2 linked regions of the Struthio camelus genome follow. The protein of the gene in region 2 interacts with the protein of the main gene of each other region in a biochemical or structural test. Links are inferred from orthologs where the notes say so. Each region holds a gene or a part of one and is shown on either strand. Other genes may lie near its edges.

Region 1 (7,668 bases), on a different chromosome or scaffold from region 2:
AGACAGTCTATCTAGGAAGAGGTTCGATCATGAGGTTGGGACAGCAGAGATGGAGCGAGAGATGGATCCCGAGCTCTGCAGCAGCCCACAGGGAGGCTCTTTACATCTCAGCAAGGGCTTTTCTCCTTTTCTCTTTGCTGACAAGTAGCATCTGAATCCTTACAGGACAGGAGCTCACGCGATACTCCAGGTAGGATCAGCTCTTAGGGAAAGAGAGCACGTCCTTCCTTGCCAGCCGACGTGGCGATGCCAGGCACATCCCCAGGTGCCGGGGCCAAAGCACAGGGGTGCGAGAGCAAGACCCGGCCCAGGAAGCACAGCTCAGTGCCTAAATGTAGGTCAGCAGCAAGAGGCCACTTCTGTTTTCGCCTGCGGTTACTTGCAGGAGAGCTGTGGCCTGTCCCAGCTGCAAACTGACGTTCGGGTCAGTCCCACATCTGGACACTTACACTTCTGCTCTTCCTCTGGGACGATCCGGTAGACCTTGTAGGGCTCAGAGATGTCCAGCTGGGACCTGTCTGTCACCTCCTCAAAGTCAGGACTCTTGTTCAAGGCACAGCGGAGCCGCGTCTTCCAGGTGGCTGGCTCTGCTTTGTCACCTTCTTTGAACTTGCCTTTGAAGACGGCCCAGGCCTAGGAGCAAAGCACAAAGCCCAGAGCTGAAGAAGCAGATTTGAACGCCGAGGGCTAACTGGCTTGGACGTGCCTCTATGCTTTGGAAGCAGAGGTTCTTGCACTCAGATTTAAAAGCCCCAGAGAGCTTAGACATTAAGTCGTATGCTCCAAATCTCTGCCAAACAATTATGCCAGCCTAAGTGAGCCAGATTTAGCCCAGTGCCTTTTATACCACAGCTTAAACTAGAGCCAGGATTGTAACACATGACTTCACCCCTGCACTGACAGATGAGGGAAAGCTGTCTGGGATACAAGGAAACCCATCTGAAGTAGTGATGGTTTTCACGATCTGTTAACATCCAAATTAAAATCAGAATAAACGTCTATTTCCCAGCTTCCAAGTAGTAAGTGAAGGCTGGTTTATTTTAAGATTCGAATGCTCTTTGAATTTTTGGTAGAGAGGAGGGGAAAAAATGGGAAAATACATTTTCCCACCAAATAATGAAGACTTTTACATACACACACATATATTCAGATGTCTGAATTCAACACAGCCTTGCTGTCTTCATAGCTCGGCATTCCTGAACTAGCCCTGAATTAGCTGTTACTGCCCTGAAAGACAGCTCCACCTGCTAGGGGAGACATTTAGAGATGCAAGTAGAAGGCAAGGGGATTCCTGCAAAAGACTTTGACCTTTTGGGTTCAAGAAAGGCTTTTCCAGTTTCCCCCCTCCCCAAAGTATAAAGTCTCTCCACCCGAGGAAAGCTGACCCTTCCTTCCTTCCCCTAAGGCCTTTTTGTCGATCCATTCTTTCCTCAAAAAGTCTCGTGGGAAGATTAGACCAGGTCAAAAAGAGCATACTCAGCTCCTCCTCACAGCAGACCAGAATGAGAACATGCTGAAAATGAATCCAAATCAGGCAGCTGCCAGAAAAGATCCAAACAACCCCCACACAAGCCCTCTGGAGATTCATTCCCACATAACGGGACGTGGCGAGGCATCTCCTGGAAGGAGCAAATCTGCAAAATCTGCAGAAACTGAGGATGTTTATCACCGGCCAAAGGCAAGTCCGTCAGCAACAAAAAACAGCATCACGGCACACAGGGATCAAGAAAACAAGATCAGCCATCCTGCCCTACCTTGAAAATAGAGGCATCCACCTCCTGGTTGTAATCCTGCTTCCCAGCGTGTTTCCAGGGGATGCGGAACATGGTTTTCTCCTCGTTTTCCCAGATCAGCCCAGGGTAGAGCTCGCTGTCGATCTGCTCAATCAGCCACTGCCGGAGCCGTCTCCCGCCGTTCCTGTCGCACATCCTGGAAGCGAGACGTCGCCGGCATCTGTTAAACCACCCCGAGTAATCCCACCTCGTTATGCGGGGATATCTACTATCCCAGCCCCAACGGTGCTACCGTGGCACGGAAAACCGCACAGAGACACAGTGACTTATCCGTTAGCACTGGAAAAGAGCTACTACATTTCCATGTTTCTCTAGAAAGAACTAGGGTACGGATGTGTTTTACCATGTTGATATGTATTTTTAGCCAACATGACTACAAGCAGTCCCTGCCACCAGAGCAGGGGATCAGCCTGCTAGAGAGCCTGCAGACGGCAATGCGATTTCCAGGAGAGGGGGGGAAAAAAAAGCAGCAAAGCAATTTTGGTACAAGTGACCACACTCTGCTTTAGTCCATCATGGTTGCACCTGGAAATAGCAACGCCTGCAGCAACAAACAGCTTCAGGCTGCTTACAGCTTCCCTCCTTTTTAAGGAGAAAAAAATACTGCCTATATATATATAGGCAGTATCTCTGCAAGCGGCTTCTAATAGCCCCTTAGCAGCACCCTCCCCTCCTGGAAAACAGCTTTCTGCAGGGCCATCATCTGCCCCAAAGCCCTCCCGGACAGCCCGAGGCCGGGACAGCCATGCTCGCTGGTATCCGTTTCCCCGGATTCGGGCACACCAAGAACAGCAGCTGGAATTCCCCGTGCCGGCAGCCACGCACGCGGCCCGCCAGCATTTCCGCATGGCATCTTTGATGTGATAATTCCTCCCCTCGCGCTGGACAAGCGCCTGCAAGAGAGATAAGGAAGACGATGAAAGCCCCAAGCAGCCCGTTCAGACCCTCCAGAAGCGCTGCTGAAAAGCGCCTCTATTTGAGACGGCGTAGGCATGGCAACAATAGCATGCTGTATTTTTGGAGGATTTCTTTTTTCTTCATCTGAATTACTTTAAATTCCTTTCCCAGCTCCTTTGATCAAAGCCCATGTGCTCCGGTCGCAGAAAACAAAATGACTCTGTTTACTCATTTTTTTGGCTGTGTGACATGTCGTGCATGAGCTACAGAGCCAGAAATTAAAGAGCCTGGTTGTGCTGTCACCTAAACAAGTGACGCTGCACAGACTGTCCTGGGGTGGATGGCCATTTAGGTCCATAAGAGACAGAAACCAAGTGCTCTAAGCTATCGGCACACTCTGCCCTTTAGCATCTCTTGCAGTGGCCCAAAGGGCAGGATTTCTGCATCAGATCCCCCCACATCCCATGCAACCCCCTCCCTTTTAGCGGGGAGGGGGGGGGGAAGTAGGATTAAGTCACAACTCAAAGCAAAAGCAGCGAGGACTTCAGAGTCAGCTCATTTTTCTGCACGCAGCCCAGTGCTATACTTAGCAGCTGAGTTTCCTCTTGCTCGCAGGACTCCAGCCCCAGCGCTGTACTGAAGGCGACCGGCGTCCCCAGCCCGGTGCCACCCGATCGCGCTGCCAGCTTCGAGCCAGCTGCGCCTCAGCCAACGCCGGTGTTGAGGGTCGGCTTTGCCAGTACGCAAAGAGCTCACGTACCAGCTCTTCAGAGCTGACTTTGCACAAGACAGATAGGAAAAGGGAGAAACAAAACACCTAAAACCTGCCCTGATCCCGCAGTGCAAACCAGCTGCAAAGCACCAAGGAGGTCCCAAGTCTACCTGCTCTGCACGCTCAAAGTCAACAAAAATTGAGCATATTTGTCCCGAGATCCTCCTCCCCATTACACACGCACATCCTGCCCAAAGCAGCAGTTTCGTGGCCAAGGTCCCCTCTGACCGGGAAGGTGCTTCAGGGCTGCGTTTCCAGGGCGGCCGCCGGTCCAGCACGGCGGGTAGCACACACCAAGGCGCCTGGGGTCACACAACCACATCCTCTCGAGCACGGCAGGCCCACGGACAGACAGACCCGTGAGACAGAGCCACCCTTTCTGCAGACTTGGGCTCGTTTGGAGCAAAGGTGACTACGTAGCTATGGAGAGCCCGCAAGAAAAGCGCACCCAGGTTACTGAGCTGGAAGCAAAGCATCAAACCCAGCCTGACCAGGTGCCCCCCCATCACAGCAAGACCTGCAGGGACTTCACAGCACGGACCACGTCCAGGACCTAGCAATCATGTAAAAGCAATTTGCAGCACACACCCCAGCCAGCATCGCCAGCTGAGCAGCCCTGGGACGTGGAGGAGCGTCCCTCCGCCAACCCTCCGGGCCTTTGGGAGAAGTCAGGAGATTCCCAGCACTGGGAGGGCCCAGAGACGCATCACTAGCGGTAAAGTAGGTTAACAATGCTCCAAGTCGGAGGCACGCTCTCCCCACCCACCCGGCCTGTGGCTTTGAGTTGCTTAGTTTTCTCCTTCTCTAAGTGTTAGGGGACTCTATCCCCCTCATCCCCTTCCCCCTCCCCCTTTTTTTTTTTTAATAGCTACCCCATGGGGCAGGGAGAGGAGCAGGATGTTCCCAGGACGCTCTCGGCACAGCCTGGGACCTGGACCTTGCCCTGCCCAAGGCTCCCATCAGCAAAGCACCTACCGATGTCCATTTTTCCATCTTGGCCACCCTATTCCTGCGCAATCACAGGCACCACCAGCTTCGCTGCCAGAAGCTCCAGCACCGCCCCTGCCCTTTAGGGGCTGGTTGGCCCCTGCTTTTAGGGGCAAGCACACGGCCACGTTCCAGGCTCCCAACATCAACAGCCAAAGCGACATGGGGGCACAGCTCCATGTCCCAGTGGCCCCTTCAGGAACCCGGTGCCCCAAAGCGCCCACAGGAGCATCTACCCAGAGCTACAGGCCGTTCGCAGTGGGCTTCTCGCACCAAACAACTCACTCCGAGTTATGCTTTCTAGAAAACGGGATGAATTAGAAGAGACTCCCATTCAAATGGGTATTTCCTAAACCCTTCATTTTGACTTGTTTCCATCACTGGCAGAGGACAGGGCTCCATTTCCCCTTGCCAAAAGGCTAGGCAAGCTCTTTGGCACCAACGCCTGCGACACAAGGTGCGTGACAAGGCCTGACCGCTGGCTTCCCAGACGCGATCGTACCTGCCTTCCCCAGGCAGTGCCTGCATCGCCCAGAGCCCACCTGGTGCCGGCACGCCGCTTGCTTGCCGCCAGCCCAAAGCAGAGCCCCGGTGGCGTTGCTGGAGCCCGGCCCCGCCGGAGGGCCGGGGAGGAAGGCTCCGCCACCCTGTGTTGCCCCATCTCCACGCAATGCCCAGCAAGACTAGGGTGGCAGTTTGCATCCATCCCTGCAGCCCCGGGTCCTTTGCTGCTTCGCTGCCCCCTCCCCAACCACAGAGCATAGCCCTGGACCTTGCGCCAGAGCTAACTCCCCAGCCCATGCTCCGGCTGCATCCTGTCCTTCCCAGCTGGCCCTGGGGTGGCTTTGCCCAGGATCCCTGCACCACTCAGCACCAAGCAGTCACAGGCCTCCCCTCCCCACACAGGACTGCAGGAACCAGCCTGCAGCCCCCGTGTCCCCAGCACCCTGCATCCACATTTCACCCAGTCCCAGTGCCTCAATTTTGCACATCCCCAGCTGCAACTCTAATGCCCCACAACCTCATTTGTGCAACCCCAGTGCCATGCAACCCAATTTTGCACATCCCTAATGTCCCACATCCTCATTTTATGCATTCCAAGCGCCCTGCACTCCAATTCTGTGCATCCCCAGCTGCATCCCCTAATGCCCCACAACCCCATTTCATGCACCTCCAGTGCCCCACATCCCAACTTCACGCATCCCGAGCGCCCGACATCTCACAACCCCCAAGCACTCAGCACCCCACATCCCTTGTGTCCCTACAAGCTCGCATCCCCTCCTCTGGGTCCCCTGTCCCCGGCATCCCTCACACGAGTCCCCAGGGCTGCCAGACCCGCGGCAGTTGGGGGGGGGAGGGGGAAAGAAGGGGGCCCCGATCCCGGCCGCTACCTGCCGGCTCCGCTCGCTCCGCACCGCACCAGCGCCCGCGGCCGGGGCGTCCGCACCGCATTATAGGGGCGCAGGGGGCGGGCCCGCGGCCGCCCCGCCTTCGCCGCCCGTCCGGCCAATGGCGAGCCGCCCTCCCGGCCGGCCGGCCAATGGCGAGCGCGCGGTGCCCGGCGCTTTCTCCGCAGCGCGCGCCTTTCCGAGAAATCAGGCTTGGGCGCCGGCGCGGGGGCGGCCTCGACGGCGCGGACCCGCACCGCACCGCCCCTCACCGCCCCGTCGGGCACCCCCCGCTCTTACCCGCTAGGAGGCATTTCTTCTGCCTCCTATCCGCGCGCCCGCACCAAAACCTCCACGGCCCTTTGCAGTGCTACCTGCGGTGCCTATACCCCCGCCCGGGCCGTTTGCAGAGCTTTCAGGCTATCTGCCGCCTGGGTTCGGGGCTTTGCTGTCTCCCCCCTCCCCCCTCCCAATTATTATTTATTTTTGGGATCACCAGATGACACACGCATTTCTTGGAAGAAAACCATAATTACTCCCCCGTGGGTAATACAGCGAAATGGGAAATGTATGGCGCGGTACAGCTGGTATAATGAAAACAATGATCTAAGGCACACGACCTTTACTGTAATTTTTAACAAGAAACTGCTGTACTAGCCCATCTTTTTAAACATCCAGCTGATCTTAATCAGACATCCCTGTGAGATGTGGGGAGAGTCAAAAACACCCCCTGCAATCAGATCCAGTTAAGACGGTTATTTCTGCTTTCAACGAGAGCTGAGTTAAGCGTTGCAGTTGGGGTCTCCCCCAACCAGGGACCCGCCGTCCTGCCTCCCCGAACGCCCTGCACATCCTGCGGCCAGCAACCAGCGTGGGAGGCAACGGCAGGAGCTGGTCCCAGCTCTATCTGATGTTGAAAATCAGAGTTTAAAAATGTTTCTTTTCAAAAAGATGTGATATGTTTGGGATATTTTAAAGGGGTTTCCTATAACGAAGCCTGTCGATCCCTTTGTCCCATCTGGAGACCAAGGAGATGGAGGCAGAGAAGTAGGACTAAATGCAATCCTGCAGCCAACAGGGTTGGTCCCACCACCTCTGGCTTCATTTTGGTTGCACGACTTTGTAGATAGCCTGGAAGTAATTGCAAAGAAATTCAGAGAACCACACAAATAACAAGCACAGGGAAAATCAGAGCCAAAGCTGAAGTGGCTGCGCTGCTTCATACCACGACCAAATTATTATGCCAAAAGGACTGGACTCCCTCATCACGTCGGCGTGGTTTAATAAAGCCCTGTATGCCAAGGGCTGCGGTTCACGTTCCTCGCTCAGCTCAGCCCTCTCCAGCTGCGGCGCAGTGCGCAGGGGCCTTAGGGGCTGCCGCGCTCCTGGATCGCTTTCCCTAGATGTGCAGCCCACTCCCCGCCCGGCCCCGCTGACGCGGCAGCCGACACGATGAGGAACCCCGGGCAAGGTGGATCCCGGCGGCAGGAGGGCGATCACCGAGAGGCAGGAATAACAGCCTCCCCAAAACCCAATTGCAGCTTTTTCAGATGCTTGGGCAATCCGCCTCTGCGCAATAGCGCAGGTCCCGCTCCCACAGCGTGGGAACCGTGGCGCTGGAAGGGGTGGGAGATGCCCTGGGGCAGCCACGGGCTTCCCGACAGCCACTGGCAACGCAAAGTGCTGAGACAGACCCGCCAGGGCAAGCAGTGCAGCACAGAATTTCTTTCAAACTACTTCCCTGGGTGAGAACAACCTGGTAAGCCCATTTGCACTTCGCTAGAGCAATTCCCACGTGCCAGAGGCACCACCAGGCTGGCGATATAGCTCA
Region 2 (6,973 bases):
TGGCATTGGTTGAGAGAGATACAGAGGATTCAACTGAATAACAACTTGAAAATTCCTATTGTTCACTTAAACTTTGTCAGATGATTCCAGGTGATTACAAATGCATTGAATTCTGATCTTTTTTTGTTATCCTGACATAACTATTCGTTGGCATGTGATTCAGAAATACTCCACACAGTTTCCAATGATGTGCTGCTGAGACAAGTTTGAAGGCCAAGATTAACCTATTTCCTTGGAAAAATTTACAGTATAACTATTTTAGAAAAGATGAGTATAAATATTAACATGAGCACTCATTGGGCCAGCCTCACAGGACCACCTTGGAGGTGCACTTATGTGAAACAGAATGCTTATAAGGTACATTTTCGCTCTCATACAAATATATCTCCATTCCAAGCTGAGTACTACAGGTGGCTACTTAGGGATTCACAGGTAACCTGGGGGCCTCTTTAGAGGAAGGTGTTTGCTTTATTAGTTTTCTGCCCAGTAGCACAACTGATACAAGATTCTATTATGTATTAAAAGACATGGGCTCAGTTTGCAGGACTTTTCCATATAAAGTTCTTAATCTTCAAAGAAAGATGCAATAACTCTTAAACCATTTGAGTGGCACTTTTCAAACGAAGGTTAAGAGTCTTCTAGCATAGTCAAGAGGAAGGCAGTTACCAATCCACCCTCAACTGAAAGGGGAGGGGCAGAGGAGGGAAGTAGTGCTTCACAGAAACCCTGTGTCTAGAAACGGGCTAATGTCGCCCCTCTGAAGAAAGTCCCAGGAGGCACAGACTTTTATAATGATGCCATGTGGGGCTGTAACTGTCAGTACTCAGATCAAGTACATTTAAAACAATTTTGGAAGTACAAAACACAAAGCTTTCATTTTTGAACATATTAATCACAAAAAAAACCCAAAACAAATTGCCCTGTCAAGCATTCCTATAAGATGTGATTTCATTTTCACTGCCTGTTACCTCATTCACCTGAGCAGAGTTCAGCCAGAATACTTTTCTACAACAAAAATTAGAATATGAGCCAGACTGTGTTGGATTTTCACTCCATTTATTCAATCTATGCGCTGAACTTCAAGAGTGAAGAAATGGGACACAGAGGGTGGCTATGAGGAAATGAGTAGACAGAAAATGAACATTATTAGTAAAAATAATGGGAGATGCTAGTGGAGGACAAGATTTTTTCTTGTTTTTTTAAGCCCAACAAATAACATATTCAGAAATCTTTATGTAATGTTTTCATTTTCTCAGTTTCTTTTCAAATTCTTATCCTGACATATTTACAGTAGATCCACTGGGTAACTTGAGTATTTAAGAAAACAAAAGAAGTTTCTTAGGGTCTTCTCACCCTGCGGGTGAATAAAGGATTTCGTGGCCATGAGCTGATGAACTGCTAGAGTAATGGATTTCACGCAAATAAGTATTTTTTTATTCAATGTGGATACAAAACATGAAAGGAATTCAAAGGGCCATCTTTCTGTATAGAAAATAAAGAAACGTGCCTTTAGCTTTCATTAGATGGGACAAGACAAAAAGAAAGCATGATACAAATTTGATTAGAGTACTCTTGGAGTTGCACTGTCTCTTACTCTCTTTTCCGAACACACATAGCAAATACCATATGTCATCTACCACGTAAAAGGCCAAGTAAAACACCTTCTCTGACCATCTTTTCAGCTACTACGGAATTAGCAAATCTTGTTAGGGCCTATTTTACCCGTTCTATCTTGAGATGTCCCATTACAGTTTGTTTCTGAACAGCTGGTTAGTGAGATTATATACTTCACAAATAATAATCCCCAAACTGACCACAATGTAAAAGTGTAAAAATGCTGCAGAGCTAAAGAAAGAACAGAAACACTGTATAAACATACAGAAAAATTTGTAACTAGGAGAAAATATCGAAAGACCCAATTAAGGGCCATTTTATTTTTGCTCTCGCCACTTCACTACTTGCCTGAAATAGGAAAGTTTTCAAGTGCATCCATATATGTTCAAAATGATTCAGGGTTATTTCCTGGCTTATATTTTAAATAAAAGTCACAAAATATGCAATGTAAAATATGAGCAAGAGAAGCTAGAGACTAGAATTCTATCATTACAAAGAGCACAAAGACCTGAAGTCTGCAAAATGTAAAAGCAGCATTCGGCAACTCTTCTCTCATAGATTGGTAGATATTTAATACATAAACTATGTCAGAGTCTCAAAACTAATTAATAATTACAACCTGAAGCAAGACTTGGCCTTATACTGCAAAGGCAATAAGGAAGAAAAAATTTTACTGGCTTGCTATACGTATACCCTACAAAAATACCATGAGTTTAATCTTTGAAAATAACTGGAGATCAAAATCAGATACAAGTTTAGGGAGGAAATGTTAATTCCCCATTCATTGCAACGTTGTCACTAGCTTTATATATTGCCAACTTCCTTGCTGTACAAATACAGACCAAAAGAGAGACATTCTCAAATAATAAAACCTAGTTTACTTTGTCTTTTGCTACTGAGCCCAATCATCCATATTAGGAATAAACCCCATATACTCACAGGGGGAATGAGGGGAAATCCTTCCATTTTGCAAGCTTGCAACATTCAGCCAACTTCTGAGTGAATTTTTCTTAATTCAGTTTTCAAACATCCAGAATAACTGACTTAAAAAATCACATGAAACAAACAAAAAAACACAACGAAAGTGAGATCCTTGGACTCTCTGAAGTCCCCTTGCAGTAATGGATCTCAGGATTGGAGAAAGACCCTAACAAGTTTTCATAGTTTGCCCTAATAGGCTCTGAGGTGAACTTCTTCCCGAGTTGTATCTGAAGTTCCTGATTTTATCAAATGTCTGTAGAAGGGAGATAGCCCTTGGGTCTATCAGTGCGCTGTGACATCACAGCTTTTAGCCGGTTTGCATAAATCTCATTTCAAGGAGCTGCGGCACTGTAACAGGAAGTCTGCCCTTAGCCAGATCTGCCATGGGCAGGTGCTTACTTATAATCAGCAACCCAGAGCCCAGGCCTACTACCAATAAGCAAGCATACGGGTACAGTGTTCTTACTGACTGTGGAAGACTATGTGCTTCCCACTGGAGATGAACCATAATGATGTCGCTGCTCTCGGGTTTAGTGATGTAGCATAGAGCTACAGTCCTGACAACTGCTGTGAGAATAATGCAGTGGCACAGACTTGCTTTAATGATAGTCTTATGCTGGAATGAAGTGGCAGAAGGGGAAATAATTAGCAGAAGGGGAAAAAAGAGTATACAGTCTCAACTATCATAGTCTTTGGTTTCTACAGAAAATTAAAGCTATGCCAGTGCGACTTTCTTTACAAACTTGTTTATAAAGTGAAATAGTTCAGTGAAAGTCACTGAGTCCTCTTATTTGCTTTTTATGATTTCTTTTCTAGGTCCTGCAAGGAGAAAGCAAGTGGGCAACAAGTCCTATGTCATGGCCTCTACTTATCCCAGAAGAGTGCCTTTAACAGTGAGTAGAGAACAGAGCTGTAGAAGTGTATCTGAAAAGTCAGATACTGAAATTTCTCTTTCTTCTGCTCTTCTTCTTATGTGGTGTTTTCCCATCTCTTTATCCTCCTGTTTTGCTTGCATTTGGCTGCACTGAACATGTGCCTTTCTTACGAATGGTTCTGGCAGAGGCATGAGTGAGTGGGCCACAGTGCAGGATTGAGGGGCTGGGCCCTTGCAACAAGGGAAGAACTCTCTCACTCTGCAAAATGCTTTCTTGCTTTGCAGTTAGTTACTAATATTTTGGAAAAGTGAAGTTTCTTTGTCTGGGTTGTTCCCCTTCAATCTATGCCCATGTGCCACAGGTTCTGCTTTTGAAAGTAGCCTGCTCACCACTCACCTGGGTCTATGTCTGAGGGGGAATTTCAGCCACTGCAAACTTCCTCCCTCATACACTGGTAAAACCAGAGGCCACTCACAAGTTCCTCTCATTCCCCACCCTAAGGAACCCTACAAGCAAACCGTATTAGCAATGGGATAAGATTGAGAACATGATGGGAGATTAACTCTTGAAGCCCCAGACTGAATTTCATCAGCATTAGTTGATCCATATGCATTTCAGTCCTATTTTACTGATACCAAAAATCTTCACGTTAACCTAGAAATGAATAAACTGCTAAACAGTCCAGTTTTGTCTCTGAGGTAATTCTCAAGTCTCTCTTTCGATGCCAGCCTAGCAGATACCAGGTTTACCTGGCGGAACAGGAGAGAAGCAAAATAAAGTATTGATGATAAAAATCAATAAAAACAGAGCAGAAAGGAATGAACAGTAACATAAATAAATCTTAAAATGGATAATTGGATAATAGATGATAAAAGTCATTGTGGCAATTGTACGTATATTAAAAATGCTATTCTGAACAGAGAAGACATCTGACTCTTAATACACTGAAATCTACCTTAAACAGCTACTGGAAGGCATAAAAATGTAGTGTGTTCCAGAGAGGGTCTTTTATTAAAGTGTAACATAACTATATTTAATACACTGGAGGATATTTCAATGCTGTCTCTTAGCACAGGAAATTACCTAATAAGGATACATACTTTGCACCAGCTTTACTGTACTTAGGGACCAACATTAATGACCAGGAGTAATCATAAACATACCAAGGTTATCAACATAAATAATCAAATTGATTCTCTATGTAATGAATTAGAAGAAAATAAGACATCATAAAGCTTGAGGAACAGCAGGAAGTCCAGAAGTTGAATTAGTTTCCTAGGAAGGAGAGTATCTCCATAAATGGAAATGCTAATAGTTAAATAAAATGCTTGTTTACAGTACTGTATCTGTATAGGAACATTACTAGTAACAATCTTGCTAAAATTCAACCTAGATTTAACTGGGTTTTTATCCCCTGTTTGTCATCATAGAATTTTCTCACCCTTAAAAGAATGCCTACTTTTGGCCCAGGTCCTTGCAGTGCTTTATTTGATGACTTACACATAGAACAACAACATATGAAATTACCAAATTAGTAGAGAGGTGCTTATCAGATACAGCTTTAATACATTCTTGAACTACAGAATCTAAAAGAATAGTTTCACTGTTGTCTATCAAAATGCCCATCAAAAATATCTGAGTGCATATAAATAATTACCAGACTTTTTATATATGTCTTTTTTAGCCTATCTCAAGTCATTTTTATCACTTTTTTTTTCCCCTCTCTTTATAACTTATGTCTGAAATTCCAGGGTCTCTGTTAATAATCTCTGTTATTTACCCAATACCTAGCAGTTCACAAACCAATCCAGTTCCTATCCTGAGATGCTGTAAGGTTTTACTTTAAAAATAATATTTTTTTAAAAATGGAAAAAACTCAAACATGTTAATGAAGGAGAGTGTTTATGCAAATACATTCATCACTTACTGTAGTGAGATGCTTCCAGATTTGTTTGTTGTAATTCTAAATGCTTACCTTTATTCTAAAACATTTTGGTATGTCTTCAGTGCGGGGGCAGATTAGAGAGGCAGATATTGATTTAATTAATTACAACAGGCGGAATAAAGTTGCCTGGAAAATAGTATCAGTGATGCTGATTCAGGCAATAAGAAGGTCTGGCAAAAAGCATAAAGGTATTTACTGGTGATGAATGCTGGCAGAGCAAGTAGAGGAAGAAATAAATGAGATGCAGGGATGAGAACTATGTAGAGCCTTGAGGATGAGGACCAGTAGTCTGAACTTGATGCCAAAGCAGAATGGGAGCCAGCAGAAATTCTCGGAAGGGAAGGTGGCAGAAGAAGATGAGTTTAACAATATTGTTTGGAATAAACAGGAGGAAAAAGTAATTCGACCCAAGATACATGAATTTCTAAGCTATACTCTGTATGATGTTGGTGCTCCTCACAGAGTGTAATCTGACCTTTAAAAAGGCTTTTAAAGTAGGCTAGGGATCCTTTTCCATGATGGGAATTTGGGGGACTGGAGAAAAACCTGCTCAGCTGAAAGATTAAATTTCTGAAAACATTTAACTTTCATAGGACGAGAGGCAACAGCCACAAACTGAAACACAGGAAGTTCCATCTGAATATGAGGAAAAATTTCTTTACTGTGAGGGTAACTGAGTGCTGGAACAGGCTGCTTAGAGAGGTTGTGGAGTCTCCTTCCCTGGAGATATTCAAAAGCTGTCTGGACACAATCCTGGGTAATATGTTCTAGGCGATCCTGCTTGAGTAGAGAGGTTGGACTACATGATCTCCAGAGGTCCCTTCCAACCTCAACCATTCTGTGATTCTGTGATTTTAATCTGAGTTATTCTCCCCCTAAACATCACCTCACTGTGTGCCTCAGATACTTCTGAAGGCAGTTTTTCCCCTACCTCTACCCATTTATTCTTCAAACTATTTCTAACCACAAGCTACCAAAGCAAAAGGTTTTCAACTCACAGCCACATCACAAAGAGGTCCCTTTACCTCAAACCTTGTTTGGTGCTCACAAGGTACTTTTTCTCCCTACTGAAACCACATAAAACATCACTCATCCTGAAGCCTCTTAATCAGAAACAGGTGTTTACACAGACTCTGCTACTGAGTTTGCTTGTAACAGGAAGATCAGACCTCTAAACAAGAGATCCCCTTATATCTTGCATATTCTTCCCAGAACTGTTACTGTTGAACTTGTTTTACCCAGAGATCGCATGGCTTGTGGGTCTTACGTGTCATCCTTCAACCTTAACATCCACTCAGATGCCATGTGGGGTTTGCGCTCTTCTCTTAAGAGCCTATGGATCTCTCTCACTGTGGAATCTGTGGAGTCAGGGGCAGTCTTCTGCATTTAACTTTGTTACATATACGACTACTGAGTTGGAAGATATGAGTTGAAATATCTTTGTTGCATATTTCCATAGTGAGAGAGTAGGAACTAGAAAGGAGCTGCTGCAAGCTACCAGCTGATAAGAATTTATTACAAATTGTTCTCATGTGGAGCTTTACTTTGGGATCTTTAA

The links. The genes of interacting proteins can lie anywhere in the genome.
Region 1: the proteins of SPI1 (region 2) and IRF8 form a complex in vitro, tested with the Homo sapiens proteins (3 studies listed by BioGRID). The link is inferred for Struthio camelus from reciprocal best matches to the Homo sapiens genes SPI1 and IRF8.

What each region holds. Positions count from the first base shown.
Region 1 is NC_090951.1:3,629,807-3,637,474, reverse strand, and holds the start of IRF8 (interferon regulatory factor 8), read right to left. Parts: upstream 3,100-7,668; 5' UTR 2,882-3,099; coding exon 2,844-2,881; intron 1,930-2,843; coding exon 1,755-1,929; intron 634-1,754; coding exon 450-633; intron 1-449. UniProt on the Homo sapiens protein: Transcription factor that specifically binds to the upstream regulatory region of type I interferon (IFN) and IFN-inducible MHC class I genes (the interferon consensus sequence (ICS)). Can both act as a transcriptional activator or repressor.
Region 2 is NC_090946.1:39,185,333-39,192,305, reverse strand, and holds the start of SPI1 (transcription factor PU.1), read right to left. Parts: upstream 2,979-6,973; 5' UTR 2,599-2,978; coding exon 2,554-2,598; intron 1-2,553. UniProt on the Homo sapiens protein: Pioneer transcription factor, which controls hematopoietic cell fate by decompacting stem cell heterochromatin and allowing other transcription factors to enter otherwise inaccessible genomic sites.